Lepisosteus oculatus: one gene and its partners. The protein of the gene in region 1 purifies or fractionates together with the protein of each later gene. This does not show direct contact. Links are inferred from orthologs where the notes say so. Each region holds a gene or a part of one and is shown on either strand. Other genes may lie near its edges.

Evidence for each region. Proteins that work in one complex are often made in the same cells at the same time.
Region 2: the proteins of bud23 (region 1) and ube2o purify together in Homo sapiens (affinity purification with mass spectrometry; 5 studies listed by BioGRID and IntAct, counting the BioPlex papers as one, with this or other methods). This does not show direct contact. The link is inferred for Lepisosteus oculatus from reciprocal best matches to the Homo sapiens genes BUD23 and UBE2O.
Region 3: the proteins of bud23 (region 1) and trmt112 purify together in Homo sapiens (affinity purification with mass spectrometry; 5 studies listed by BioGRID and IntAct, counting the BioPlex papers as one, with this or other methods). This does not show direct contact. The link is inferred for Lepisosteus oculatus from reciprocal best matches to the Homo sapiens genes BUD23 and TRMT112.

Annotation. Positions count from the first base shown.
Region 1 is NC_090721.1:874,162-883,297, reverse strand, and holds the start of bud23 (18S rRNA (guanine-N(7))-methyltransferase), read left to right. Parts: upstream 1-4,880; 5' UTR 4,881-5,155; coding exon 5,156-5,203; intron 5,204-6,102; coding exon 6,103-6,140; intron 6,141-6,722; coding exon 6,723-6,818; intron 6,819-7,439; coding exon 7,440-7,522; intron 7,523-8,397; coding exon 8,398-8,494; intron 8,495-8,579; coding exon 8,580-8,676; intron 8,677-9,114; coding exon 9,115-9,136. Other genes in the region: dnaJ homolog subfamily C member 30, mitochondrial, read right to left, coding at 3,286-4,248.
Region 2 is NC_090704.1:45,373,044-45,383,062, reverse strand, and holds the start of ube2o ((E3-independent) E2 ubiquitin-conjugating enzyme UBE2O), read right to left. Parts: upstream 4,070-10,019; 5' UTR 3,941-4,069; coding exon 3,515-3,940; intron 3,190-3,514; exon of another isoform or gene 3,026-3,189; intron 1-3,025. Other genes in the region: aanat1 (serotonin N-acetyltransferase), read left to right, coding at 9,168-9,321, 9,839-9,993. UniProt on the Homo sapiens protein: E2/E3 hybrid ubiquitin-protein ligase that displays both E2 and E3 ligase activities and mediates monoubiquitination of target proteins. Negatively regulates TRAF6-mediated NF-kappa-B activation independently of its E2 activity.
Region 3 is NC_090713.1:23,019,407-23,029,607, reverse strand, and holds trmt112 (multifunctional methyltransferase subunit TRM112-like protein), read right to left. Parts: upstream 4,070-10,201; 5' UTR 3,916-4,069; coding exon 3,841-3,915; intron 2,954-3,840; coding exon 2,852-2,953; intron 2,774-2,851; coding exon 2,681-2,773; intron 1,685-2,680; coding exon 1,583-1,684; 3' UTR 679-1,582; downstream 1-678. Other genes in the region: prdx5 (peroxiredoxin-5, mitochondrial), read left to right, coding at 5,026-5,091, 6,960-7,094, 7,815-7,949, 8,583-8,714, 9,314-9,352, 9,456-9,520, 9,824-9,932. UniProt on the Homo sapiens protein: Acts as an activator of both rRNA/tRNA and protein methyltransferases. Together with methyltransferase BUD23, methylates the N(7) position of a guanine in 18S rRNA.

The sequences.
Region 1 (9,136 bases):
GTGGAAGTGAACAGGAGGCTTCTGACCGAGGCAGAGTAAGGAGGTCAGACCTGGAGCCCTGTTGTTACAGAGACCCCTGCTGGCCAGAGAGGCCTATGGCAGGAGTGTGCATTATGTCTGTTAATTCCGGCTCGGCGCTTAACAACCTAGATCAGAACACTACTGGTTTAACTGGGTTAATTTCAGCAACTTCACCCAGCTTTTCCAGAGCTGGTGCTTTAATGACATTATAAATCCTGCAGATGCAGGACAAGGATTGGACAGCCCTGGTCCTGGAGAGGTCCCTGGCCAGCAGGTTTTATAAGTGACTATCAAATTAAATAATCAATTTCTAAAGCACCGTAGCAACATAATGATAAATTAAACAGGTGATCTGTGACAGTTCTGTAATTTAGAGATCTTTACAAACACACATCTGTATACCCTTCAGCTCTCAGGAATCAGATTAACCTCCATTAAACAAATTTCAGGCTTCACTAATCAATACCCGCAAGAGGTGGAGGCTCCACTCCCCACTGGGGTGGAGAGTTTGGAGAACCCCCAAGACCTGGATCTGGGTTTTTCTGGACCAGGTCTGGAGACCCCTGCCTTTAAGAACACAACAAATTAAAACTGTGACTGTGGCAGGATTTCTACTTGCTGAGCTGATGTAACACCACGCAGTAAAATCGCTCACAAGTGGCCCAAACACAAAAAGTCTCCTTACTACCTGAGAATCTCCAGTCTTTATCATCGAAAGTGTCCGCGCGTGGAAGAAAAACTAACGCCCTATACAGAGACTAACAGAAAGGCCCCAGTTTCTGCTCTCCGAGTTCTCTTCTGATGCCGCTGGACTGTCTCTCCCCTGACCCTAATGAACAAATGTTTATTAAAAAAAACACTGAGCAAGACAACAAATTAAAGAAGAGACATAAAAAAGGAATAAGGCTGATCACATAAATTCTAGAGATAAGCAACTGACCTTGCTGGCAGAGTTTTGTTTACCAGCAAAATGCAATCTATCAGTAATCTATATTACTTTCATGAGAACAACGTCAGAAGATTAATGTGTTTAGTTTTTCCAGTCTCTATTCCACAGAGTTGATTTTGCCACTGAAGTATGATGAGAGGGAACACTGCTGTAGGACTTGCCTTCAAGGGTCTGACTCCTCTTTCAAAGACTCTGTGGCAGCTCGTGTGAGAGTGGGGGTGCACACCCAGCGCCCTGGATAGACTCCCCTCTGGGCGTCCAGAGTCTGGCCTCCCGAAGCTCTCCTTCCTCCAACGGGTGCAGTCCCTTCTCGCTCCTCCCCGATCTGTGCAGTGGGGCAGCTCTTCAGAGCCGGGTGAAATGGGTCCTCTTCCAGATGTGAAGCTTTTTTTGGGAGCCTCTGGGAAGAAAAAACACACAAGAAATTCAAGGAGGTTGTTATTCAGGTGTGGTCGAACCCTGGTGAAGGAGACGATTTGCGCTGCGAATAGCGAGCTTTCCTGGGGACACTGACCTGGTTGAGCAGGAAGCCCAACCCGTCCATAAGGGCGGGGCTGGCCGAAAACACGCCTCGCTGGGAGAGATGCGAAACCTGGCAGCGTGCCGGGGCGTCAGCGGCGCCAGCCCCCGAGTCCGGGATGAGCCAGTGAAGCTGTTGCACTTCTGTGCAGGGGCTCCTGCCAGTGGGCCGGCGCTTCAGGGGGCCTGAAGTGGGTCCCCTCCTATCTGCACGGGTCTTTGGGATCTCTCAGGATGGAAAAGCACTACATGAACGCAATTAACTCGTCTACAAATTACAAGGAAAAGACCACAGCATATACAGTGTTCTCCCATATATTTTATTCTTTAAATACAAATGTACATATTCTATTCATGACTGGAGTTAACATGCCCCACCACATTCATGACACGAAAGAAGTATTCAGATTCTTTTTTTTTTCTTTTACGGCCTAAGAAGATTGTGTTTTATGAACCTTCTCTTTTAACCTCGCTGTTTAATGAGCATCATGGTTTTCCTGCACATACACGCAGCCACACAGTGGCGAGACAGTCACCATCAGTGCTTTCAAATGAAAACCTTGGTGGTTTCAAGGTTTTTTACACCAGTAAGGTTTATTCTGGACACGTGCAGGACCTCTGGGGAGCGCTGCTCTGTCTAACCAGGCGTTGCCAAACATGTCCACACAGTAGTTATTTAATAATAATTAATAATAATTGCTTATACTTATATAGCGCTTTTCTGGACACTCCACTCAAAGCGCTTTACAGGTAATGGGGATCCCCTCCACCACCACCAATGTGCAGCATCCATTGTGAGCAAGACTGCTGGAGAGAACGCCTAGGGAGCCCGGGACACTACTGACACCATCTGTTTCCTGCTGAATTCCCCAAATCAGGGTGGAAAACCCTGTGAACTTACTTTCTGCTGCCAACTTCTGGCAGCAGGTATAGCTAATGTGCTGCAGCCTGTGTAGTCTTGTACAGCACTGTACGGCATGTTAGTACTGTAGCACTCAGAGCTCCAGCTGAGCTCCTCACGGTATCCCAGATAGCAAGCCCCACACACACATTTTTGAAAACATTCCTGGTGCTGGACAACCTTTTAATAAAAGCAATACAACCATTATCAGTATTTGACTGTTCATGTGTAACAGCAAATTGTATCAGCACAGAAATTTGCTTAAAAAGTTATCTTTTTCCAGGAAATGACAGAGGATTATAAAATCCCAGTTATCTCTGTCAAACAACTGCCAGATATTTTAGTACTTTTTTACTGGCCTTAATATTTTACCAGCCTGCATAAATTGAGCACACCTGTAAAGGGATTTTCCAATTTGACTGAGAATGAGTTTGAATTAATCACCTGACACTGATGCACCAGTAAATGTGATTCAAAGGGCTTGTTTCAGATCTCAGAACAGCAAGCAGCACCTCAAAAATATCCTCCACCCAAGGAATAGGTGGGGTGTTTTAAAATGGATGGATCACTCTGCCCCCGGTTTAACCTGACGCAGAAAGAAGAGCTTGGGATCCAGAAAAACACTGGATTCTCAAGACAAGTTGGAAATATACCACGTATATGAGTGTAATGACAATAAACTTGAACTTGAAACACGTTGTCAGCACCTTCCCTTGACACCTTAAAGACCAGCATCAGGAAATGATGACCAGACGAGCAAAATAAGTCCAAGCTAAATTCGAGGCCCTAAATAGTACCTGGCCTGGCAGGTGTGGCAGGGCCCGACGGGCCGTCTCGGGTCGGTGCCGCAGCGCTGGCTGCCCCTGTGTCCGAGCGCAGGGGTCAAGGGCGCCGCTCAGCCGTGGGCCCTGGTGTTGAACAGGAAGACCATGCCGAGCGCCATCAGCAGGCCGGCAGACACTTCGGCCAGCTTGCCCATCCGCCAGCGCGCGCCCTGCGCCCGCCGCCGCAGCTCCTCCTGCCGCCACCGCTGCGCCCGCTCCCGCGCCAGCTGCTCGCCGTAGTGCTCCCGGTAGAAGGCGTCGAAGTCGAAGATGGGCCGGCCCCCGGGGGCCCCCTGCGGGGCGGCCGGCCCCGGCGGGGGCGCGTCCCTGGGCGACGGCCGGCCGGCCTCCCGCACGTCCTCCTGGCTCAGCAGCCCGCGGTCGTACTTCCTGCGCAGCCCGGCGCTGCCCAGGACGCTGTAGGCCTCGCTGATCTGGAAGAACCGCAGGGCGGCCTCCTTGCTGCCCGCGTTCTTGTCGGGGTGGTAGAGGAAGGACTGCCTGTAGTAGGCCGTCTTGATCTGCGCCTGCGTGGCGCTGGGGGACACCTCCAGGATGTCGTAATAGGCCGTCCTGCTCCGGTGGAGCGGCGGCGCCTTCCCGGCGTGCCCGCTGCAAGCGCGGGCCGGCTGCAGACCGCCCGCGAGCCCCCGCGCCTCGCGCCCGGCCCTCTGCCACGCGCGGTGCCCCCCGGCTGCCGCGAGCACGGCGCCGCGCGCCGGCCAGACGAAGCGGACCTTCCGTCCGGGGCTTGTGAGCGGCGCGACCCCGTCCTGCCCGGCAGGCAGCTCACCGTGTGCGGGCAGTGCGGAGTCGCCGCCCTCCGGGGTGGCGGGCTCGACCCCAGCCTCATCCGTCTTCCCCGGCCAGCTCCCAGACTCCCCGGCAGCCGGCGGACACTGACACACGCCATGGACTTCGTTAACTATCCGAGCGCTCGCCTGCGCAGTGCCGAACCCCGCAAACGCTGCCTTTTGCCGGCAGGTCAGGACTCTGCAGGCTCCCCTTCCAGCTCTCCAGCTGACCTCCGCCATCGCTGCCGGCGAACAAGCGGCAGCAGACAACGTCCAGTAGGTCTGACAGCCGACCAATCACAGAGATACACTGGGGCGCGATCGACCAATCACAGAGAGACTCTGGGAAGCACGCCGGAAGGTGCGGCCCAGTTATCCAATCAGAGACGACCCGGAAGCCGTCAGCGTCACGTGTGGAGAACATGTTACACAAGAGCGCACTTCTGAACTCATATTGAATAACGCGAAGTAATCAGAAATAGAGTAGACTTTCATCAGTTTCAGTTTTCCCACGGCTTAGTACACAATCGTACATCAGTTATAGTGAAGAAAACGTATTACTAAATATGTAATAGACGTGGTCTGAAATACTGAAAACTAAATATTAGGTTTTAGAGGAAAAATAGTATAGAAAGTATTATAAACAGAATTATAAAGAAATTATTTCTACCACGTATTATTACTACGAAATGTCTGTAGAGGTTTCACAGTATTTTTGGAGTAGACACTGTATTGCTACTAATTGTTTTAGTAAAACAGAATTAGTATATTCAGATAAGGTCAATGTAAATCTAACAGCAGCGCTAAGTAAAGCGTACTCAGTAGGAACATTATGAGCCAATCCTACAAAAAGCACAGTAGCTCCCATCGACTAATCAGCCTAAAAATATTCAATCTATGCATACCGTAAAACGAAACGCGAATTACTTTAAGAATTCGTCTCTCATGTAATTGCGGTTTATGATACACTCCTTGAATTAGAAAAAATGAAACACTCTTTAACAACTGAATTCCAGCCACTGAGTCGCAGAGTGATGATGTCATGCAGTCCGGCCATGTGTCTCTGGGAGACGTGAGGGGTAGCCGAGAGTTTGTTGGGGACTGTTCGCCCTCTTTCTGTGTTGCTGGTTTCAGTTGAAAACCAAACATGTCTTCGAGTTGTCGTAGACCCGAGCATATGGCACCGCCAGAGGTGGTAAGTGGCCTGTATTGTGCTTAGTTATTCCGGTGTTTTCATGAACACGGGCACCAGACGAGCAGTGCAGAAAGCAAGCAGGGCTTTTAAGACCGAGGTGTGGTGCGCTTTCCATGTTGTACTGTGTTGAATCTTTATAAAGGCATGTTCAGAAGTTGGAGGCGGTCTTTCTACCTTTGCTTGTATTTATACTTCAGTGGTATAACGTTACGATGACTGTCGTTGTGTAGGGTGTTTAAGGTGCGCACGGGAACTTTTCTAGGTTTTAATGTGTATGCATATTCGACGGAGCTGTGTTTAATTCTGTGTAGGCAGTTTTTACTGCTAATCTTGTTTACCATCTGATGTTGTTTTCTTACTACGAGCAAATTCAGCCGTGAGTTAATGATCTTTTACTTATTCCATCTACTGCTGCACAAGATATGAATCCTCCCGATCCCACTGTTTACTCGCCAAGAAGGCCAAATAACGTCCGTGAACAGACACAGTAATATTAATATATTTAAAACAGCATCTGTCTGAAAGAACTGTATCCTGTCTAAATTGCCAAGAGGTTTGCTCGGATCGTTTTGTTTTTCTACGCTAGTTCACTGTATGCACTCTAGGAAAAGGAGCATTTGAGGTTTTTGAGAAAATCCGTTCTGACTAATGGTTATACATAGTCATAGACATAGACATCGTCAAAGTAATGCATCTCACTGCAATTAGAGGGCCACTTTAAGGTGCAGGTAATTTATTGGGGTCGAGCTGCCCTTCTCAAAGCAGGTGAGGAGGAATATTGCTGTCACACAGGGCTCTGAAGCCGGATCCAGTGCCATGTGCCAACTGCTTTTTTTCTTGAAACTGGCAGGGTCATGTGATACTTGCTAGAGTAATCCTGTGCTCTTTTCATTCTGCAGTTCTACAATGAAGAGGAGGCCAGGAAGTATTCACAGAAGTAAGAGTTTTCTCTTGTTGTCTGCAGATTGTACTGGAAATTCAAGTGTTGTTCACAGCATTTGACTTTATACCTGTGATCACTGCACTGCCTTGCTGTTAATCTGAGATTTTGAGTCAAAGGTCAATTCTGTGCCTCCTGTCACAGTTTGCTGATTTCTGATCTGTTAACTCTTGTTAGAAATGTGTTCTGTGCTTTCAGTTAAATCTTCTTAAACTGTTGCCTTGCATTTTCCACTGATACCCCTTCTACCTGTCTATTCTATCCCATTCTATTACACTGCCTCATTTCTTCAAAGTCTGCTTTCCTGATGTTGGTTGTTAATTCGGACTCCATCTGCAGAGTTTCACATATTCCTCCAAGCACACCTTGTTCTGATCAGTCAGTTCTGCATGCTTGCAGTGCCGTGCAGTTTGCTCCTGGGTTTAGAGAACATTAAGAACCCCCTTGCCTCTGTCTTCTGTGCACATAGCACCTGTTTCACTGTGGCCAGTTTCCCAGCAGCAGTTCAATACCTTCCGGCTCTCCGAGTCTGCCAGTCGATTCTCTTCGTGTGACCCTGGCGGTGTGGTTGGGTTGCAGCTCCCGTATGATCGAGATCCAGACCCAGATGTCTGAGAGAGCCGTCGAGCTCCTGAACCTGCCCGAGGACCAGCCCTGCTACCTCCTGGATGTGGGGTAAGTGTCCGTCCCCGGGGTCCTGGCTGTTTCAGGGTGACTGACCGATGCCTATAACTGCATGTCAGTGGCCTTTAGCTTGGAGTGTCCATGGTCCTCCGTAGCCACAGGGGGTTCTGCTTTTCATACAAATTGAGTTTTATTGTTTCAAGTCATTTGTTTTCTTCATCAGCCTTTTCACGGGTCTTTAAATAAATCAAATCAATACTGATCCTGGTCATAGAATTGATTTAAGAACTCCTGCCCTCTGTCGCTCACAGTTCGTAAAATATCTTAGATTGAAGCCTTTTTTAAAACATTTGATTCTCAGAGTAGTCTGTGCATTTTAGCAAATCTTTCATCAAGGCAGGCAGTTTTCTATACATTTTCCCTGTATGAGTCACTCCTGTTTTTATTTGGATCGGTTTTGGTTTTGTTCATCCTAGACTGAGTCTGACCCACTTCAGGTTTTCCAAGCTTCTGGCTGTTGTCCTTACTGTAGTGATGAAATGGAAAGATAGATCACGTAAAGCACTGTTTGTGGCGTTGGCTTGTGAAAGAACTTGTACTTGGTAAATCATGACATGGATCTTGCTGCTGCGGCGCTGGAGCCTGACGTGTTCCTCTGCTTGGTGGGTGCAGGTGTGGCTCGGGGCTCAGTGGGGACTACCTCTCCGAACAGGGACACTACTGGGTAGGAGTGGACATCAGCACGGCCATGCTGGGTAAGCCTGCAGCTTTCTTTTTCTCCACACCGCACCCCGACACACACAGACACACCTTCAGATCTTAGTGATCATTGCAGTGCTCTTACTGCCTGCTCTGTAATCTGTGCTCCCATTTCTCATAAAGTTCACTGGAAGCCAACTGGGTGTGGAGCTCTATCTTGGATACCCCTGCCTGGTCTCTCACTTTCACTAGTTTAGTGCTGTGGTTTTTAAGTACAATTCTGGCTGTTAGAGCCAGGTGAGATAAAATACTTCAAGCCTGCTTTCTCCGTCTCCTAACCCTGCCTTTGTGCTGTGAATTAAATTTGAAATTTCCTCTTGGTCTCTAGAATAGAGCTGCCTACCCGAGCACATCTTCCACAACTTCTCCTGAGTCTAGAGAGCTACAGCTTTGTAGGCTTTATAGGAAACTTAAACCCCTCAATGGACGAAGACCTGGTTAGACATCTTCCTCTCAGTCAGAGGTCCCCAGTCCTGGTCCTGGAGGGCTGATGTGTCTGCAGGTTTTCCAGGTCTCTTTTAAAGAACCAACACCCGAAGAAGGGAAAAAGTAGTAAATTGGTCCAGTTAAGCCCATAATGAGATGATCATGTAGTTAGAAGCCCAGCTGGCCTGAAAACCTCCAGGACCAGGACTGGGGATCCCTAATCTAAATCTTTTAAACTGTTGTGTGTAACTGAGAGAGAGAGGTGTGCTGGTGGAAGAACTAACTGAGCCTCACTATTGTGTGTCCTGACATGGGCTCAGTTATCCATAGGGAGAAAGGACCAGAATCAAAAGACAATCAAAGTCCCCTGTTATCCAGTCTCCTCTGTGTGGTGGTTGTGCATGTGACTCAAAGCCCTCTCACGCTTCTGCTCTGCCTGTGCCAGATGTGGCCCTTGACCGGGAGGTGGAGGGAGACCTGCTCCTGGGAGACATGGGACAGGGCCTGCCCTTCAGGCCCGGTGCCTTCGACGGGTGCATCAGGTAGGCCCCGCTCCCCCGGTCTCACCCCGGCCGGAGCCAGACCCCGCGCGCGGCTGACGTCTCGCTTGTCCTGTGTCTCTGCCAGCATCTCGGCCCTGCAGTGGCTGTGCAACGCGGACAAGAAGACGCACAGCCCCCCCAGGCGTCTGTACAGGTTCTTCAGCACGCTCTATGGCGCATTGGTAAGAATGGCCTGCATGCCGGGGGGCTTTAGTAGAGCCGAGTGTTAGCTGCGCAGCTTGGAGGCCTGGGACTGCAACCTCTTTTATTTCCCTTGCTTTTGGGATCATCGGATGTCCTCGTATCGGTGCAGGATGGGCGTCCTTGAGCACAGTGAGGGTGGGGTGTAGACTGGAGCTGCAGTAGGGGACAGGGTGCCGCTGTCTCTGGAAGCCCTGCGCTCCCGCGCAGGGGTCACTGTTGTTGCCAGCTCTGCCTGTCTTCACATTCACCCCTTAATCCTCTAGCCTGGCACCTTATATTTTGGATAGACAGGGATCTCTAGGCTGCACACTTTCTCATCCACATCCCCCACATTGAAGACCTCAGTTTTCTCCGTCTGTATCTTCTTCCTGCAGCGTGTCAGTGAGTATCTGTCACTTGTGTGTGTCTGTGTTTAGGCCCGGGGCTCTCGTGCTGTGT
Region 2 (10,019 bases), on another chromosome or scaffold:
ATGACAGCTTCCACGGGGAGACAGGGGCCAGCTCTCCTTTTCAAGTCCCACACACAGATCTGAGTCTTACAAAGTGAGTGTGAGCCATGTGCCAGTCCCGTCACCACATTCCAAAAGACGGCAATGCAGAACTAGAATGAGCGTCAGGGCGATCCGTGGCGTGTTCTTCCAAAACAAACCAAAAAAAAAGCTTTGCCCTGAAATCCATCTTTCAATTAGGCCATCTATTTTCACATCGCCACGCAACCTTTTTAAACCAGCACATAAAAAACATCAGAAAGATGCAATAATATGAACGTATTCAATCCATGGAGCACTTTGGGTAACAACGCAGCTAACTGACAGATTTGTACGTACACACCGATCACATATTAACATGCAAAGGAAAAATGTGACAGCGCTCAGCTACACGGAGAATGTGGGACTTGTTAGTTTAAGCAGTACTATTTCCACACTTTCCTGTCTCACTGCTGGAGTTGCAGTCGCACGGCCAGGAGATAGTGTCAGCCACACATTTTTCAGGGAAGCATCCCAGAAAGGGATGTTTCTCGGATCAGCTCAAAAAGATCAAGGAATCTGTCAGGTTTAAAAAAAATTAAAAGGGAAAAATTGTGGAAATAAAACAGTGCAATTAGAAAATATGACTCACTGTAAGAGCCTTGCGTTATTAACTGGTGTTTAAAGTGGTGTCCTGTTTACTGACCAAACTCCCAGTAAGTACGAGTTCAGACAAGGAGACGAGTGTTTCCTTTCAAGCGCGGCTCTCTGATAACGCCAGTCAGGAAGACAGGATGGCGAGGACAAACTTGAAGCTCTTAAGTACCCTACACGAAAATGCACCTGCGCAGAATCACAAACGACAGCCCAAGTGTGAGGAGGACTGTAATAAACTCCGTCTGCGTGCCACCCTGGGGAATCTCTCCAGGAGAGTTCACGTGACTGGGAAAACTGACGACACAGCTATCAAGACACAGGCACATTAAAGCCACGTCTGGAGACGCTAAACAAATCTAATGAATTCTTCACGAGACTGGAGACACCTGGGTGGGGGGTGGGAGTGTTAAGGATCTGTCAAGAGAGGTGGCCGTCAGCCCTCAAACCCTAGTCCCCAGATGTGTGTTTCCAGAGGGGTCCCACACTGTGTCCTGGCAGGCCTTGGTCTCCACAAGCGCCCTTCAGCGGACAGAAACCGTTCACCTCCGATTTCCCCACACGGGGTGTGTGTGCTGGGAAAAACGTCAAAGTCTTTGGAGGAAAAAAAAAAACAACAACAACACATTAGTCGTATCAGTCGTACTGCCAACTCAAAGGTTTTAAAAGCCACCAGGAATTCATTCCCACCAGCGCACCCTCTAAGTGAGAAAGGACTCCCTCAACACCAAGAGGAACAGCCTGCTTGTGCCTGTCCACTTCTGCGTCACGTCCAGCAGCGTGGGCCGGACTGCAGAGGGGCCCTGGTCTCTGAACACGAGACACAGGGGCGCTTGCTCGCTTGGCCTGCTGGCCTCTACCGCAGCACGAGCGCCCTGAAATCTGAAATCGCTGCAGCGAGGCGTAACATTAGAGGCCGACAACTGCAACAGGGCCTTGGAAGGGAGAAGCACTAATGCAGTTTTGCAGCGCCCATCCGGTGTCATAATACAGCTCTCAGAACGGCAAGGAACAAATAAAAACCATTTATAAGAAGTCCTATGTCTCCTCTGCAATAAAATTATGGAAAGGCTCTCCTCCCTCTACCTATTAATTTATCCGAGTACTTATGCATCATACTGCTGCTGTGATTCCATGTGATTTTACGAGACTCTTATGTTTTGTGCTTCTGTGGGAGAAGCCAAAGACAAACTTCCACAGCAGCGGACAATAAAGCATCTATCACTTCAGCAGCAAGCCAAACACTGCACTGCCTGTGCTGCTTTTGTTTTGTACAATGATGACTTGTACAGCCTTTACCAGTACGGCCCAGGCGAGAAAGAGCCCGGCAAACAGCGCCGTTAACATCCCCAGCTACTCTCAACCGAAAGGGGAGCGAGGCGCTCGGCCCCACAGAGCCGTTCAGATGCTAAGTGAACAAAGGTATAAGGAATCGTGTACACATGGGAGTCCATCCTAACGTGGACCATGAACATGCAGCAGGCTCAAGCTTGCTAACGCTCACTCAAGCTTCAGGGCAGAGATAAGGCACATAGTCTAGGCCTCTCCCAATAAGCCCAAGACAGGCCTGCAACAACACCAACCAAGACCCCCTCACACCAGGGGCTCCAGCCCAGTGCCTGCGGGGCCTGGAGTCGTCTGGGTTTGGCTCCAGCTGAACACTGGGGCTTGCAGTTACCTGTGCCTCCAGTGAAGTGCGCGTTTAGGATCATCGCAAACACCCAGGTACGTCCAAATAAGAAAATAATTAGGTTAAAAGTTGAATTGACTGCTCTTGGGCTGGAAAGAGAAAACAGATGACACCAGGCCCTCTGGGAACCGAGTCTGAGGGCCCGGCCTTCCACTGAACACAGCCTCCGTTCTCAAAGCAAGAGTGGCACCAGGGACTGGAGTCAGGAGAGAGTCACTGTAGGAAACAAAGCCCCCCCCCCAGGAATAATACAAAGCTGGGCCCAGTTTCATTCCTTGGTGTGCTGGTGGTGGTTGTTTTCTGAAAACCATTAGTTGGTGCTGCCTGGCCTGCCTCTCCCCTGCAGCAGAGCAGTTTACTTGTCAATATTACGGCATTCAGCGCTATCAAAGACACCCCTGAACTCGCCGCCTCGTTTCTTACTATTGTTCTGCTGGAAGGGGTGCAGAAGAGATCCTTTTCTCGCTACGGCACGACCATGCGTCTCGCTGCGCTTTTGCACCGCTCCGTGCACCGTGTGTATATATATATATCGGGCAGAGCGGTATTTGTGTTTTTTTTTATAACGGTTTCGGTCAATGAAAGCGTTATTGTTCCAGGCCCGTGATCCGCAGGCCAAGCACACACTGCGATATCGAAACCCCGCACCGCCTGAGGTCTGAAAGCGTCCGGTCCTTCTCGCACCTCTCCTATGCGACTGTGAACTGGACGCGTCCGCGAACTTCAGCCCTCCTGGGTGGACCGCACCACGCTCTGCGATCTTCCCGAACCGAGCCTCAAGCCGCCGGTGCGTCTGGGCGGGCTGCGTTACAGGTTGGCATTTCCGAGCCCGGGCGCAGCGGGTCCGACTCCTTCCTTTTTCATTCAAAATCTCCGCAAGGCGGAAACGTCTCGCCTCGCCTCGCCTCGCCTCGCAGGAGCTCCTGTGCGTGTGTGTGTGTGTCACAGCTGCATAGCTACAGCCGCAGGTAGCCTCCCTTCACCTCTCCATTCATTAAAAATAAATAAAACTAGCACAGTTCGTGCCGCGCACACCCAACCTCCCCTTTGCTCAAACTAGTTAATGCACTTGCGACTGGACCGCTAGCTAAGAAGGCGACATGACACGGACAATAACCTCTAATGTGAAACAAGCCCACTGTGGCTCACTGCTGTCACTGCGCTGAGGATTACCTTGGTTTCTCGGATGTCTTGCTTGCCTCCTTCGGGGTACCACTGCACCCGGACATAGCCTCTTCCCAGAGGCCGGGCCCGGGTGTCCGCCGCCCCGCTCTCCGTGTCTGAGCTGCCGGCTACACCCCCGCCGCCGTCCCCGCCGCCGCCTCCTCCTCCTCCCCCGTCTCCAACATCCGAGTCGGAGTCGAAGTCCTCCTCGCCGTGGATCAGCCTGACCAGGCCGAACCGGACCGAGCCTCGGTACCGGCCGGAGACCAGGTCGTGGGAGAAGAGCAGCCGCTGGGAGCCGCCTGCCGAGGGCGAGAGAGCCTGGGAGGGCGGGTCGGAGCCCGGGCTGCCTGCGGGAGAGAGGGCCGGGGTGGGAGATGGAGATGCAGCAGCAGCAGCTGCCGTCGCTACCCCTGCCGCTGCGGGGTCCGCCATCACTATCGCCGTAATCAGGGACTGGGTGATGAGAGAGAGAGAGAGGCGAGAGGGGGGGGGGAGTGGAGGATGAGAAAAGAGAAAGAGAAATCTGTAACCAGGGACCACACGTGTTTACGTCGACACGCAAGCCCTGCGTGCGCCGCCAGTGGGAGAGCCCACCGTCAGAGCAGAGGTGTCGCCGCTTGAGGGCCGTATTACCCTCCGTATAGGCGCACACGCATCTTCGGGCGGCGAGGGGGGAAGCCCGCCCCCCCCGCCGAGCTGAAAGGGTATTCAGGGATTTCTCGTCCCCCCCCTCTTTGTCTTTTCTGTTTTGTGTTTGGCTTCTCTCTTAGTGTTTGTGGCCTCGATCCTCCTGGAACGCGAGTCTGAATGTGCAGTTTCAGAAAAGGTTAAGGCTTTACAGAAAAGTTGAGCTGTCCCTTTGAAAGCGGTGTTATTATTATTATTATTATTATTATTATTATTATTATTATTATTATTATCGCTCAACAGGATCATGCTCCTTCGGAAATACAACACACAGCGCTTCTTAAGAGTTGCGCTCAAGCTAAAAATTGGCTTTTTATAAGAAACGCTGCCGTGAAAGTCAGAATTAAGGCGGTTAACGCACTGGTTGTTTTTCTTCGTTTCAGATAAAGATTGCAATCGAAGAAATACATTTCAGAGTGCCTGACCATGTGTCCGCTTCCCGCAAAAGTCTCCCTAGAATACAGTCCTTTCGCTCAATGCGCACCCATGGGTATAGAAACAGCCCCCCCCCTACAGAGCAGAAAGTTGCAACTCATTCCTGTGAGGTGTAAATATCCCTTTTACCACAAGATGTCAGGCTCGCCCTATATTTTCCATTTAAATAGCTCCCTCCGCACCGATCCGAGGGCGCGTCGAGGTGTTTCGAGAGACGCTTTGCTTTCAGTTGTGCTGAGACAACACAGCGTATCGAGCTGTTGCTGAGGCTCTCAACTAAAATGACTAAAAACCCCGTCAGTACAGTAATTAACACAACGATATCCAGAAACAATAGTCCCCTGTATGGAATATAATTTCACGGCTTTCCCTTATTCTTGCAGACAATGAAATGACACGCTGTCGGCTACACACCTGTAATTCGCCAGCGCTGCACTGACACTCTCTAGAAAAGCAATATCATCATGTAATAACTCGGTAATCATTTTTTTGTACTACCCGTTATGAGTCTCATTCCTTTTCCTTAATCTCGTTTCAAAATGTTATGACGTATCGGACATTACACTATTGTGCTGTGTGGTTCGGTTACAGGTAGCCATGAAATCGGGACTCGTCTTACTGCGCTTATTGTACTCGAGCGAGCCTGGACAGGAGCCTCTGCTGAAAAAGAACAGGTCTTTTTACACACACACACACAAAAACAGCCCCTCGCAGGCGAAGCTAATCGTCTCAAGTTTGCCAGAACCCCGGTGTGTGTTTCGCAAATTGCGCGGCAGGGTTGTTTGAAAACGCCGAACAACTGCAGCGACGATTTATAACGATGACAAGGGTGGAAGTGAAACCTGTCCTTCTCACTTTCTGCCCGTCTTGTCGCAGGGAGTTCTGTAGAATCCGCCGTCACACGGGTGCGAACAGCGTCGTCGAATAAATTTACTTGGGCCTTTCTGTCCTTGCACGTAAAACTGGAGGGTGCGAAACAATGTCGCCATAAAAGCGAAGCAAGTAAAATTCCTTCATTTGCAAGATTCTTTGTGTTTCATTCGGACGCAAGTATGTCCAGCCGTACACTGCTTAATCACCCATCTTGAGTCATCAAGGATGGTGGACGCTGAAACGACCGTACCCACGCTAACAGATATGTTTAGGCTTCATGCCTACGGGGTTGCATTCACTCCCTATTGGCGAGGAAGGAGTTGAAATGCCGGGAAGAACGACAAGAGCCCGGACAATTCACCAAGAACGGGAGTTTCGTGCGGATGTGGAGACGTGGGTTGGCGCAGGGCCGATTTCTGGACACACCGAAGCCCGATGGGTACCGCAGACAAAGTCACACGACTTTTTTTGCACCCCGTTGTTACAGTCCTCGGCATCAGGACCCAGTGTGTTTTACGGGCGCTTGACAGGCTGGTCCAAAGGGCCGTGCCTTTCTGATCGGGACTGACCTGAGACGCTAATGACCACCACGTGACCGCGAACTAGCGCCATACCTGTGCGAGAAGCAGGTTCCCGGCGCACAACAGCGTCAAACAAGACGGAGGCAGGAGCCGACAGCTGACGCATCGCTTAACACCTCCTTTTAAGAAACACAGTTTCACTCAGAGGTAAGTACCATGTACGATTTCGTCCAACGGAAAAGAAACTACCAGAAAAGCGCTATTTCGATCACAGAGGTTGCTAGCAGAAGATCTGTAAAGAAGAAAAAAAAAAACAAGGTTGTACTCGAAAGATTTTGAACATATCATTAGATCATCCCTCATGAAAAGAGATTCGTGAACACCGATTAAAGCAGAGCTAATACCGGGAGCAAATTCTGCGTGTTTTTCAAATGACGTCTGATGTTTGACACAAAATCAGCATCCTAACAGCAGCGCCGTCTCCTTTATATCAGCTGTTAATGGATTTTAATTATACAGAATTAATGGGGTGGAGTGTGCGCCTATTAACGGAAACTGCACATTAATCACTCACTCGCTCAGGGTGAGTCACCCCGAGAACTGAAGCAGTTTGCGGGCGCTTTGCTCTCGTTTGCGCCGAACAAGTAAAAAAAAAAACACAAGTTGGAACTGTTGTGACCCGTGCGCTGTAGCTTACTATTTTTAACTTTTAAACACTCTTTTAACTCGAGCGGCCTGCGCGCATGGACGTATTGTTGTCACGTAATATTTCACAAATCCGCTGAAGTTTTTTTTTCCCGAAAAAAAGATAGTTAATCGATGATTGTGCAAACCCTGGTGCGGGTCGAACGGGAATCTGTCGAAGCGCGGAGGATCTAGTGAAGGCGAAGAGAGCCGGTGTTGGTGGGGGAGAGGCGGAGAGGGGGGTGAGGAGGGTAAGAGATTGAGAGAATAGGTAGGGAGGGTGTGTGTGAGAAAGGGACTGAAGAGATGACCAGCTGAAGTTATAGGGGTAGTGTGGGAGGCAGAAATCAGAGATTTAAGACAATCGACTAGATCGCCGAGGGACACAGGATGCGGGGGAGCAGGGAGCTGCCTCAGCATGCCTAGGCTGCCACAGAGCAGTGGTGCCGAAGGAACCTTCACCCTTTCCTGTGCAACAGCAGGTGTGCTCTGCCATCACTGGCACTCCCTGTTCTGACCTGCCCCACTCGGGGATCTTCGGCTCTTGCTGTTGTTAACTGCCCCACTCGGGGATCTTTGGCTCTTGCTGTTGTTAACTGCCCCACTCGGGGATCTTCGGCTCTTGCTGTTGTTAACTGCCCCACTCGGGGATCTTCGGCTCTTGCTGTTGTTAACTGCCCCACTCGGGGATCTTCGACTCTTGCTGTTGTTAACTGCCCCACTCGGGGATCTTCGGCTCTTGCTGTTGTTAACTGCCCCACTCGGGGATCTTCGGCTCTTGCTGTTGTTAACTGCCCCACTCGGGGATCTTCAGCTCTCCCTGCTCAGTGACTGGACAGTTCAGAGCCGTGATGGCCCATATCTGCCCCAGCTGTGAGTTCCCCATGTTCTCCCTGAGGACCCCGGTCCCTCTGACCCTCACTCTCTGTGTCCATTACAGGGATTCCAGGACTCTGACTCCAAACTGGAAGCAAAAATTATCCCTAAATTCCTAACCACCACCTTTCCCCCTTATTCATGCCTCCTATAACCAGCAGATACAACGCCCCGCAGCTCCTCACTGGCAGCCCACTGGAGCTCAGCAGGTGTGAGCCTGGCCAGTACCTGCATGGGAGACCCCTGGGAAAAAATAAGGTTGCTGCTGGAAGAGGTGTAAGTGGACCAGTGGGGGGCGCTCTCACCCTCCAATCTGTGTGGGTCCTAATGCCACAATATAGAGATGGGGACATACTTTAAAAAAAGGTGCCGTCCTTTGGATGAGATGTAAAACCGAGGTCCTGTGGCCATTAAAAATCAGAGTTTTTTTCTCGAAAAGAGGAGTTTTATCCATGTGTCCTGGCCAAGTTTCACCCTGGCCTTTACCATCTTGGCCTCCTAATAACCCCCATCTCTGAACTGGCTTCCTCACTCTGCTCTCCTCCCCACTGAGAGCTGGTGTGTGGGGAGAGCACTGGTGCACTATGGCTGCCGTCGCATCATCCAGGTGGATGCTGCACATTGGTGATGGTGGAGGGGATCCCCATTACCTGTAAAGTGCTTTGAGTGGAGTGTCCAGAAAAGCGCTATATAAGTGTGAGGATGATCGATATTATGATTCCAGCTCCCTTCACACCTGCAGAGCCTCTGCAGACGCATGCGCCCCCCTTTCTTTTCCTCTTTTCCTACTTTTCACTGTGGAATTATAGCCTCTATTTTTAATTATAACGAGTGTGTTAAAGATTCGTACTCGCGGTCATAATAACCGTTAATAATAGCACTGACGCTATATACTCTCCTGTGTTTGGTAAGTATTTCGCTTCGTTCGGTTTTCCGATGAAAAAAGCACACAAGTTAGAGTATTTAAAACAGAATGACCCGTCAACAGTAAAATATTCTTTAAAAGACACAATAAGGTACAGTACAACATGTGTTAAGTTTTATGTCCATACACTTAAGACCTACTATTATTAAATATCAAAAGGGATGCTGTTCAATAGTCCCAACTACATCACCAACCTGTCACAAGGCAACCTAGTTCGTACATCGCAAGCAATTCAGTCGTTTGAACTCTTCACACGGTATAACCGTCAATTAGAAACACTCAGGCAGCAGCAGCGTCGGATTCAATTTTGTGACCGCACCAGCTGACCTCAGATTTTAGTTTTTTTTAAAAAAAAAAACCCCATCTCAATCCCTTTGTTCAAGCAGTCGTCAAACACGAGTAATTGAAATGTAAATGCGCGCCGTGTCGCTCGTTTGTAAAGATAATGTACAGAGCTGTCATCCAGCCTAAGTAATGACCGGGGTGCTTAATGGAATTTAAATCGCCGGACACATAGCGGTATAAATACGGGGCTGCCCTAGTCCATCAAGCCATTCTCTCTCCTCAGGTGACTCGGCTCCGGTGGTGCTGCAAAAAACGCGAAGAGCGGCGGAAGTCACAGAGGACACCTTCTCCCCGAGAGGCCAGCCGGTGCGATATGTCTGTAGTGAGCGCTCTGCCCTTCCTGAAGCCCGTTCACCTGCGGTGCCCGCTGTCGCCCGGCCGCCAGCGCCGGCACACCCTGCCGGCCAGCGAGTTCCGGTGCCTCAGCCCCGAGGACGCCATCAGCGTGTTCGAGATCGAGAGGGAAGGTAAGAGGCCCGGGACCCGCCAGCTGAGGAGGTGAATCTGCGGGGCTTTTCCCACGGGGGTACTGTAGTTCCTCCTTATTGTCATGAAGGCAAGACCTTACAACGGGCGGCGCTGGACGCGCGGCTGCGTGACTCGCCCGCTGCTCTAGTTTTGTTCGCTAAAATTAAAACGTTGAGCCTTTAAAAGTTGCTCATGCGCCTGTCTCTAAAACTTGAGGTCACAGCGACGGCCAGGATCTTGGTAGACTTGGGGAAACATTTGGTTTCCTTCCTCTGCCAGGCTATGAAGGCGTTACTGAGTGGAGGAAATGTTTGGCTGGTTTCTGACTTTCACTGATGGGGAAGGCAGGTGAGGTCACAGGGCAGTGTGAAGCTCATCAAAGGGGGAGATGAAATTCTTACTTTCTGGACTTTGGCGGCGTTAAGGGTCTCCTCCCTGGCTGGGGTTTGTGCGGAGCTGGTTCGCTCCCGTCGGATTTAAAAAAAAATAATACTTTTTTTTTTAATTCTCTGGAAGCTTTCATCTCGGTGTCGGGAGAGTGCCCCCTGTACCTGGATGAGGTGCGTCACTTCCTGAGCCTGTGCCCCGAGCTGTCTCTGGGCTGGTTCGAGGAAGGCCGGCTCGTGGCGTTCATCATCGGCTCGCTGTGGGACCAGGACAAGCTCACCATGGTAAGGGGGAGGGAGGGGGGGCGCGT
Region 3 (10,201 bases), on another chromosome or scaffold:
GCTATCGATCAATATGAGCAGTAGTAATAACGATCATTCTAATCCAGAGGGAAGCAGGGAAGAAGAAATTCAATAATTACCGTATGATGGGAGAGAAATGTATTTAAGAGCTGAAATCTATTTTTATTCCCCACGACCTCTCCGGGACTGGTCCCGCCTCCTGCTGGTGTCCCTGGGGTCAGGTGTGTTCCTGTGCTCCTCTGTATTTCTTTTTATAATAAAGCCACACGAGCGCACCGCTCCTCTGGTCTGGCGTGTTCTTGTGTGACGCGGCTCTCGACGGTAGGTGGAACTGACCCTGTGTCCACACACAGCTGTCCACTGTATCTGTCTCTGTCCACACCCACACCTGTCCACTGGACCTGTCTCTATCCACACCCACCTGTCCACTGGACCTGTCTCTATCCACACACACCTGTCCACTGGACCTGTCTCTGACCACACACCTGTCTCTGTCCACACACATACCTGTCTACTGTACTGGTCTCTATCCACACACACCTGTCCACTGGACCTGTCTCTGACCACACACACACCTGTCTACTGTGCCTGTCTCTGTCCACACACCTATCTCTGTACAGGATCTGTGCACCTGTTCCCTGTCCTTATCACATGTACCCTTGACGTACCCGTCCAGGTCAAGAAAGAGTGGAAGAAGACCTGAGGACACAGAGAAGCTGGTGGTCGAGTTTAACTTTTATTTTTTCTGTTTCACAGACTCGACATGTTTGTAGAACACGGGGTCTGTCTCAGTCCTACACTGGACAAAAAACTGAAATCAAATTTAAATCACAGCAAGACGGATGAAAATAAATAGTTTATAGCACAGCAGCTGACAGCAGTGCCCCTGTGTCTGGAGCGAGTTCATTCACAGGAGCAGGCTGGCCTGCCCAGAGGGGTCAAGGGTCAGTCTGGACCAGTGGCAGGGGTTTGTTCAGCCACCCCAGCGGGTGGCCCCTGTCCTAAATCAGCTAATCAATGAACTGACCAAGTCTGCCTCTGCAGATCATATAAGAGCCCAGCCCTGACCCCACTGGACACCCCAGTGCAGTGTGACCCCCAGCACTGACCCCACTGGACACCCCAGTGCAGTGTAACCCCCAGCACTGACCCCACTGGACACCCCAGTACAGTGTGAGCCCCAGCGCTGACCCCACTGGACACCTCAGTGCAGTGTGACCCCCAGCACTGACCCCACTGGACACCCCAATGCAGTGTAACCCCCAACACTGACCCCACTGGACACCCCAGTACAGTGTGAGCCCCAGCGCTGACCCCACTGGACACCTCAGTGCAGTGTGAGCCCCCCCAGCCCTGACTCCACTGGACACCCCAGTGCAGTGTGACCCCCAGCCCTGACCCCACTGGACACCCCAGTGCAGTGTGACCCCCCCAGCGCCGACCCCACTGGACACCCCAGGGCAGTGTGACCCCCAGCCCTGACCCAACTGGACACCCCAGTGCAGTGTGACCCCCCAGCACTGACCCCACTGGACACCCCAGTGCAGTGTCACACAGTGAAGAGCTGGTTCAGACACAGGGGCAGGGCTCGTGTCGGTAGCTGTGAACAGACGTATTCTCTCTAACTCTCATCCTCACTCAATAGCATGTTGGGGACCCCCTTGGTAATGGGGAACTGGTGTCCCGACTCTGGACACTGCAGGCTGCCCTCCATCACCTCCACCTGAGAGAGAGAGAGAGAGAGAGAGAGAGAGAGAGAGAGAGGTGGGGGTTACCCCTGGAAAACCAAGTTCTTTACAGCTTCCAAGATACATCTTTGGACAGTGAGAGGCAGGTGTGCAGGGGAGAGTGAGAGGGGAGAGTGAGAGGGGAGAGTGAGAGGCAGGTGTGCAGGGGAGAGTGAGAGGGGAGAGTGAGAGGCGGGTGTGCAGGGGAGAGTGAGAGGGGAGAGTGAGAGGCAGGTGTGCAGGGGAGAGTGAGAGGGGAGAGTGAGAGGCGGGTGTGCAGGGGGAGAGTGAGAGGCGGGTGTGCAGGGGGAGAGTGAGAGGGGAGAGTGAGAGGCAGGTGTGCAGGGGGAGAGTGAGAGGGGAGAGTGAGAGGCAGGTGTGCAGGGGAGAGTGAGAGGGGAGAGTGAGAGGCAGGTGTGCAGGGGGAGAGTGAGAGGCAGGTGTGCAGGGGGAGAGTGAGAGGGGAGAGTGAGAGGCAGGTGTGCAGGGGGAGAGTGAGAGGCAGGTGTGCAGGGGAGAGTGAGAGGGGAGAGTGCAGGGGGAGAGTGAGAGGCGGGTGTGCAGGGGAGAGTGAGAGGGGAGAGTGAGAGGCGGGTGTGCAGGGGGGAGTGAGAGGGGAGAGTGAGAGGCGGGTGTGCAGGGGAGAGTGAGAGGCGGGTGTGCAGGGGGAGAGTGAGAGGGGAGAGTGAGAGGCGGGTGTGCAGGGGAGAGTGAGAGGCGGGTGTGCAGGAGGAGAGTGAGAGGCGGGTGTGCAGGGGGAGAGTGAGAGGCGGGTGTGCAGGGGGAGAGTGAGAGGGGAGAGTGAGAGGCGGGTGTGCAGGGGGAGAGTGAGAGGGGAGAGTGAGAGGCGGGTGTGCAGGGGGAGAGTGAGAGGGGAGAGTGAGAGGCGGGTGTGCAGGGGAGAGTGAGAGGGGAGAGTGAGAGGCAGGTGTGCAGGGGAGAGTGAGAGGCGGGTGTGCAGGGGAGAGTGAGTGTGCGCAGTACCAGCTCACCTCCAGCAGCACGCGGTGGACCCTGCGCAGGAACTCCTCGTCCTTCTCGTGCTCAGGAGCCAGCTCGTTAGGAAGGTCGTTCAGGTGGCCCAGCTGGAGAGAGAGAAAGGAGGAGGGTCACAGCCCGGCCGCGGCCCCAGCGGTCTCTCCGAGACAGGACAGCTGACTCACGCTGTCGGCCGCCTGCACCAGCACCCCCCACTCCAGCTTGGGAATCATCCGGGACAGGAACTCCGGGTTAAACTCCACCTCACTGACCTGCACCTCCGTGGCCTGAGCAGGGAGACAGAGAGACAGAGAGACAGAGAGACTCGTTACTCAGACTCAACCCCATCACGGCACAATACACACAACGCACAACACAGCCTGGACACAGACACTGGACACAGGCAGACCTGGCTGCCCAGAGAGGACAGGCTCAGTGAGCACAGCCTGGACATAGAAACTGGACACAGGCAGACCTGGCTGTCTAGAGAGGACAGGCTGTGCTCCCACTGCCAACAGGGAGAAATGGAGACAGAGGTGCACTTCCTACTGCACTGTGACAGACACTCTGGAATTAGAGAAACATTCTTCCCGAAATTCAGAAATCTAATCCCAGAGTTCCCACACCTGACAGAATCACAACGGGTCCCAATTCTACTGGGAGAGGGAGGAGGGAACTCAATTGAACTGGCAGCCCAGTATGTGATCTCCTGTCCCAGCCTGAGGAACAGTGAGTCTGTCTCCCACCAATGCTCCAGATGTTTATATGTGAATATCTCATGACCGTGTCTTTATTGTAAATGTCTGTAGATTGTTGTTTTATGTGAACTGTATTTGTTTTGCTCTGGCAACACTGATTGTACTCACCGGTCATGCCAATAAAGCACCTGGAATTGAACTGAATCGATACACAGAGAGGCCCGTCAGGACAGAGAGACGCGCATGGAGGCAGATTCTGTCGTACACTTCACACTTTTAACAGCGCAGTGCTCGCTATATTGTCAGTCATTGTAAAGACTGTTAAAAGGTACAGTGGTTTAGTTAGGGCGCCATCGGTCATACTTATTTTAAACTTCTTTAACTGAAAAACACCCCCCCATAGTATCGGTCTGTAATGAACTGTCCTTGCGTGAACACATGCGCCCTAATGAGCAGGGGGTAATTAACAGCCTTACTTTAATCAGCAGCGGGTAGCCCTTGGTGACCCCCTTCACGTGCGAGGTCAGCATGTTGTGCGTGATGAGCTTCATCCCGAGACGGGGGCCGACACGCAGCGAGACACGCTGGAGGAACCGTGGGAGGCACACGCGCGGGATCAGCGTCCTGGTGTCGCTGTGGGGAAAAACTCACGCCGAGTCGAGAGGCCCACCGGTGGTGTTTGTGGTGGAAGCATGGACCGGAAGAAGCGGGAGCTGGTACAGCAGTAAAATACGTCCCCCAGGACGCACACGTTGCGGAACAACTGGTTCCGCCACAGAATGAGGAATCGAACGAACCCACGTTTTATGGTACAGATCACACGGCGTTGTTTTTCTTGACAACAACTCCCGCAGCTCGTCACTATGTTCAAGAATCACCCGGGGGATTTCTAAAGAGCCCTTACGGAGTGTGGTAAATACATTCCCGCTTCTCCATAGGGAACACGGTTTATTCCACGCTGTTTCGGCACACCTGTATGAAAGCCCCTTTCTATCGGGGAGTAAAAACAACGCGCTATGGCATCTCGCAATTGTGACTTTGTATCTCAGAATTGCGACTTTATATCTCAGAATTGTGACTTTGTATCTCGCAATTGCGACTTTTTATCTCACATTGGCGACTTCGAAATAGCCCACATTTCATTGTCTGTCCTTCTGTTATTGTACCGGATTCGGGTTCTGGGGCTCTGTGCCCCTCGCCGCTCCCGCCCTAGTTCGTGCCTCAGTTGAGTTGAGTTTTTAAGTGGCGATTCTGAAATAGACCTTCACCTGTTCCTTCTCATCCTGACCCAGTCTCTTACAGGAACTGATCCTCCCTCCGCCCGTTCCTGGCTGCTGTTGAAAAGATTCTCGAACAATGGTGCGCTTGGGTTTCAGTTACAGAGGAACTGGGAGGTTCCGTCAAGAGGCTGGGCTCTGACCCGACCTCTGGCTCAGTAACAGGGACAGGGGAGTGACCACCCGCATCAGAGCCTGTGGACAGCGCGTCTGTAAATACCGGGAGAGAATCTTCCAGTCGGGGTGACGTGTCCCCACTAGTCACGAACAGAGAAACAGGAGAGGAGAGGAGCCCCTCAGCCTGTCTGCTAACTGGTCCCCGGCTCTCATCCGGCTGACTCCTGAAAGACATCGGGGTGTCCTGTGGCACACACCTGTCCGTCTATGGACACGGCGGCTTGTTCCACACTCCCGCCACCCTCTGTGTACAGAAGGGCCTCCCGCTCCCAGGTTTGAAAACACCGCCCTGCTCTGCGTGGTGGGCCGCAGTTGAGTGGTACTAGTTTACGGACAAGAACGAGTCGGCCCAGAGGCGTGCAGGGGGACCGGTCAGCCCAGATTAACCCCAGACCCGCCAGGCTGTGTGTTAGAAAACACCGCAGGTGTAGCTGGACACCACCAGGCTGGCGGTGAAACGCGCGCCCGTGTGTTTGGGGGGGCACTCTGCGCCCACTGACCCACATAGAGAGCTCAGGGGCACCGCGTCTCTCCCCGCCGAGCCGGCGGCTCCAGTTTCACTTCCTCCTTCCTCCTCGGTCACCACGGCAACGGTCATCCGGGGCCGTTTATTTTCTCGCTGGCTCATCCTTCCAGGAAAGCGGGTCATTACATCACCACGGGGAGGCGGGGCTTATGACGCGGTCGCCAGGGCAACCGGCTCCGGGAATCCCAGCGCACCTGAGGGGAATTTGTAAAGCAGCGCAGGTGGGGAGCGGCGTCCGCAGGGTCAGGCTGCAAAGGGGACAAGAAACAGGTTTATTCCAGGTGGAGAAGAGAAGAGAGAAAACGCAACGTTTCTCTCACGCCTGAAGAAGGCCTCACAGCCGAAACGTTGTGTGTTCTCTCTTTTCCGCCTGGAATAAACCTGTTACTTGCTCGGGTGTTTGTGAAGCTGTTCCGGACGGACGTGCAGAGTTTTGTTTGCAGGCAGTCAAAGGTGCTTATTTAGATTTAAGGATTTCGATATTTTATGGTAATATGTAATAGAAACATTGGAAAAAGAGCATTGATTTATAGATACTTTATTGATCCCGTGAGGGAAATTGCAGTGCAACAGCAGCTTTACACAGACAACACAGCCGCAGTGTGACGAATGATACAATAATAATAATAATAATAATAATAATAATAGTACAACACATACAATACAATCAGTACAGTGAGGGGTGCACGAAAAGAGTTTCTCACAGTCTGGACACACAAAGAACAAACTAGAACAGAACAGTACACAGAAAAATCGTATCACACATATGAATATATAGATGTAAATATAAATGTATTGCTATGCATTATAGTAAATTTATTAGCCATTCTGGGTGAACTTCACAGTCACAACTCAAAGTGGTCTAATAGTACTCCCCTTTATAGTACTTTTGAGGTGGAGTTGAAACACTATTTAAATTCCATAAAAGATGTGAAAAATGCTAAAGCAAGGAGCACATTTGATTTTACACATCTGTAAAAAACACCCTCTGATCACGCAATTTACTTCATCCCCTCCGGCAGCTGACTGCTCCTGTTTCTTCCTCCTTGTTCCTGTTTCTGATCCTCTGGTTGGATTTGTAAATTCTTCATACGTTTAATACCATTTTTTAAAACAATTCCAGGCGTGTGAGGAGACAGGCGGGGGGGACCCCGGGTGTGTGGGGGAGACGTGGGGGGCTGCCTGTCGCCTTGCACGCCTGTCTGAACGAGAGGCCCGACGCGCCGGGGCCGCTGGATACCTGATCCGCGCGCAGTAATCGGACCCGGGTCCTGTTGTGGGTACAAACAGGCGCAGTGTGTACATCACACGGGCCTGCCGCTCCTCCCGAGAGGCCTGATGCAACTCTCGCACACCTGGTGGGGGTGGGCACCTGCTGCTGCCTGCCTGCCTGCCGGCACTGGGCCCCTCCTTCCGCCATGTTGGCTCCGGCGGTGGAGTACGGCCGGGCGCTGCGGCTCCGCAGCCGGAGCCAAAATGGCCGCCGGTTTCCAGTTCGCAGTTTGTCCCGTCACCAGGGGTGGACGCACTGTCTTCGCTAGCGAGTAGTTTCTCCTTCTTGTTGTCTTTCTGCTCCTCACGCCCCCCCCCCCCTCCTTTCCTCCCGCCTCCTCAGAGCCCAGATCCGCCGTCGCTATATATAGACGCGCACCTGCGGGGCAACATGATTCTCGCGTCGCTGGCCCGAGGAACGCTGCTCCTGCCCGCACGACGCCTCCACGCCTCTGCCGTCGCGAACATGCCCATCAAGGTAAGAGCCAGCCCGGCCTCTGCGGGACACGCACGGCCCCCCGCTCGGCGCCTGCGGGACACGGGCTGCGGGGGTTGGGGACCGGGGCTGCCGGCGGTGCAGGTCTCGGTGGGCGGCGGCGGTGTCGGGGCCGAGACTCCGCCAGACTTCTCCGGAGTCCCGACAGCTGACAACCCAGCCCTGAGCGCCGGGACGAGATGGGCGACGCCGAGCGCACGGTCCGCCCGGGCCTTCTTCATCCCGGCCGTGCTAATTAATGTCATATATATAATAATGTGACGCAGGGCGCCGCTTACACAACGCCGCTCCCACAGCACCACCCCCCCGCCCCGCCCCACCGCACACGGCTCCAGATTTCAACACGCAAAAAGAAGAAACTGATTTCTAAACGCGCCTGGCATCCGGCTCTGCGTTCCTGTTTCATCACGCGTGGAAGTGTTTCCTCATCTCGGAAACCTTTCATTTACTGGACGCGACCGTCTCCTTCCTCCTTTCTCCGCCGTGTGTCCCCTCCTATTCCTTCCCTCCTCCGCCGAGGCGCCGTGTCGCCCCTCCTGCCCGCAGGACGGCTAGCTCAGGGGCGCACCCCTCGCTGCGGGTGGGCGGCTTGTTCCCGGCACCCACCGCCCTCAGTGTAAAGGTGGCGTCGGTGCGCCCCAGTCCTGCCGCTCTGTGTCCGTCTCCTCACCCCCTCCTCCTCCTCCTCCTCCTCTCTCCCAGGTAGGAGACAAGCTGCCCGCAGTGGAGGTGCACGAGGGAGACCCGGGGTCGAAGGTCGCCATGGACCAGCTGTTCAAGGGGAAGAAGGGGGTCCTGTTCGCAGTGCCAGGGGCTTTCACCCCCGGCTGCTCCAAGGTACGGCCCAGAGCCCCCTCCCCTCTCTCTCTCTCAGTTCACTTCAAGGTGCTTCACTGGCATGACCTATGAGTACAATCCGCGTTGCCAGAGCGAAAGAAATACAACCTACAGACATTTACAATAAAGACATGGTCATAAAATATTTACAAACAGACATCTGGAGCATTACTGGGAGACAGGCTCACTATTCCTCAGGCTGGGACAGGAGATCACACACTGTATTATTATTATTGAGAGACAGGCTCACTATTCCTCAGGCTGGGACAGGAGATCACACACTGTATTATTATTATTGAGAGACAGGCTCACTATTCCTCAGGCTGGGACAGGAGATCACACACTGTATTATTATTATTGAGAGACAGGCTCACTGTTTGCTGTTATTTATCTTGGTTAGATATTCGGCTAGTGTGTATTGTCTGTTTAGGGTTCTGCAGGTAGGTTTCTACAGATCTCCATGTGCAGAGTTTCTCTGGGGTGAGTGTACCCCTGGTCTGTGAGGGGACCCCACACTTCCCTGCCGTATAGGGCAGTGGGTTGGAGTACACTCTGAAACACCTGGAGCCAGGTTCTTGCTGGTGGGTTGGTGTTGAAGAGCCTCCTCCTCATTCCCCTCTCCCCTGCCTGCAGACTCACCTGCCCGGCTTCATACAGCAGGCGGACCAGCTGCGCGCGCGGGGCATCCAGGAGGTGGCGTGTGTGTCCGTGAACGACGCCTTCGTGATGGAGGCCTGGGGCCGGGAGCACAGCGCCCAGGGCAAGGTGAGGGGAGGGGGTACTGTCACAGGGGCGAGGGGAGAGGAGGGGGTACTGTCACAGGGGCGAGGGGAGAGGAGGGGGGTACTGTCAGGGGGGCGAGGGCGCGAGAGGAGGGGGTACTGTCACAGGGGCGAGAGGAGGGGGTACTGTCACGGGGGCGAGGGCGCGAGAGGAGGGGGTACTGTCACAGGGGCGAGAGGAGGGGGTACTGTCACAGGGGCGAGGGCGAGAGGAGGGGGGTACTGTCGCGAGGGCGGGGGGAGAGGAGGGGGTACTGTCACAGGGGCGAGAGGAGGGGGGTACTGTCAGGGGGGCGAGGGCGTGAGAGGAGGGGGGTACTGTCAGGGGGGCGAGGGCGCGAGAGGAGGGGGGTACTGTCACAGGGGTGAGTGTGAAGGGAGGGGGGTACTGTCAGGGGGGCGAGAGGAGGGGGGTACTGTCAGGGGGGGAGGGGAGGGAGGTACTGTCGCGAGGGTGAAGGGAGGGGGGTACTGTCAGGGGGGCGAGGGGGAGAGGAGGAGGGGGGTACTGTCACGAGGGGGCGAGGGGGTACTGTCGCAGGAGTTTCTCGCTGACCCGCGGCCGTCTGTCTGTCCCTGCAGGTGCGGATGCTGGCTGACCCCACAGGCGCCTTCACCAGGGTGAGCAGCAGGGGGCGCCGGCGGGGGGGGGGGGGCAGGAATGGGGGGTATTTCGGCGTCTGTGAAGTTCTGATCTCTGAGCCGCTGGTTCTCTCTCTCTCAGGCGGTGGACCTGGTTCTGGACACTGAGCACTTCCTGGAGGTTCTGGGCAACCCGCGGTCCAAGAGGTGGGTCAGGGCTGGGCTGGGGGGCGCTCTGCGAGTCATTGACCAGTCCCCAGGGGCTCTCGCTGCTCTGTCCCCCCCGCTGACCAGTCCCCTGGGGTAGAGGGCAGCCTGTGGTGGCCTCCGCTGACCAGTTGGCGAGATGCCCTGGGTGTAGTGTGTGGGAGTGGGGACTGGACACAGCTGGACAGCGGGCGGGTCTGTGTCCACTGGGGGAGCAGCGTGTTGAAGTGGTCACTCTCTGCAGGGTGTGTGTGTCCGAGTGTTCACGGGCCGCAGTGTGACGCTCTGTGTGTGTCCCCGCAGGTACGTCATGCTGGTGGAGGACGGTGTGGTGCGGAAACTCAGCGTTGAACCGGACGGCACCGGCCTCACCTGCAGTCTGGCCTCCAACGTCCTGTCGGAGCTGCTGTGAGCCGGCCGGGCCTGTGGGCGTGGGCCAGCCAGGACCGGACTGGACCTCAGGCTCCCCAGTGCCTGGCGGCAGCCGGCTGACACCATCTCTCCCTCCAGGGGGCCAGGGTCGCTGCCCCTGCCTGTGTGTATCCTCTGTAGTGTTTCCCACGCTCAATAAAGCGCCTCAGTCTGGTGTTTGTGCCCGTGGGCTCGTGATGTTCCCCGCGCCAGCTCAGGGGCCTGTCCTGCCCGTTTCCCCTGGGGCAGTTGCTAGGAAACTAACCCATC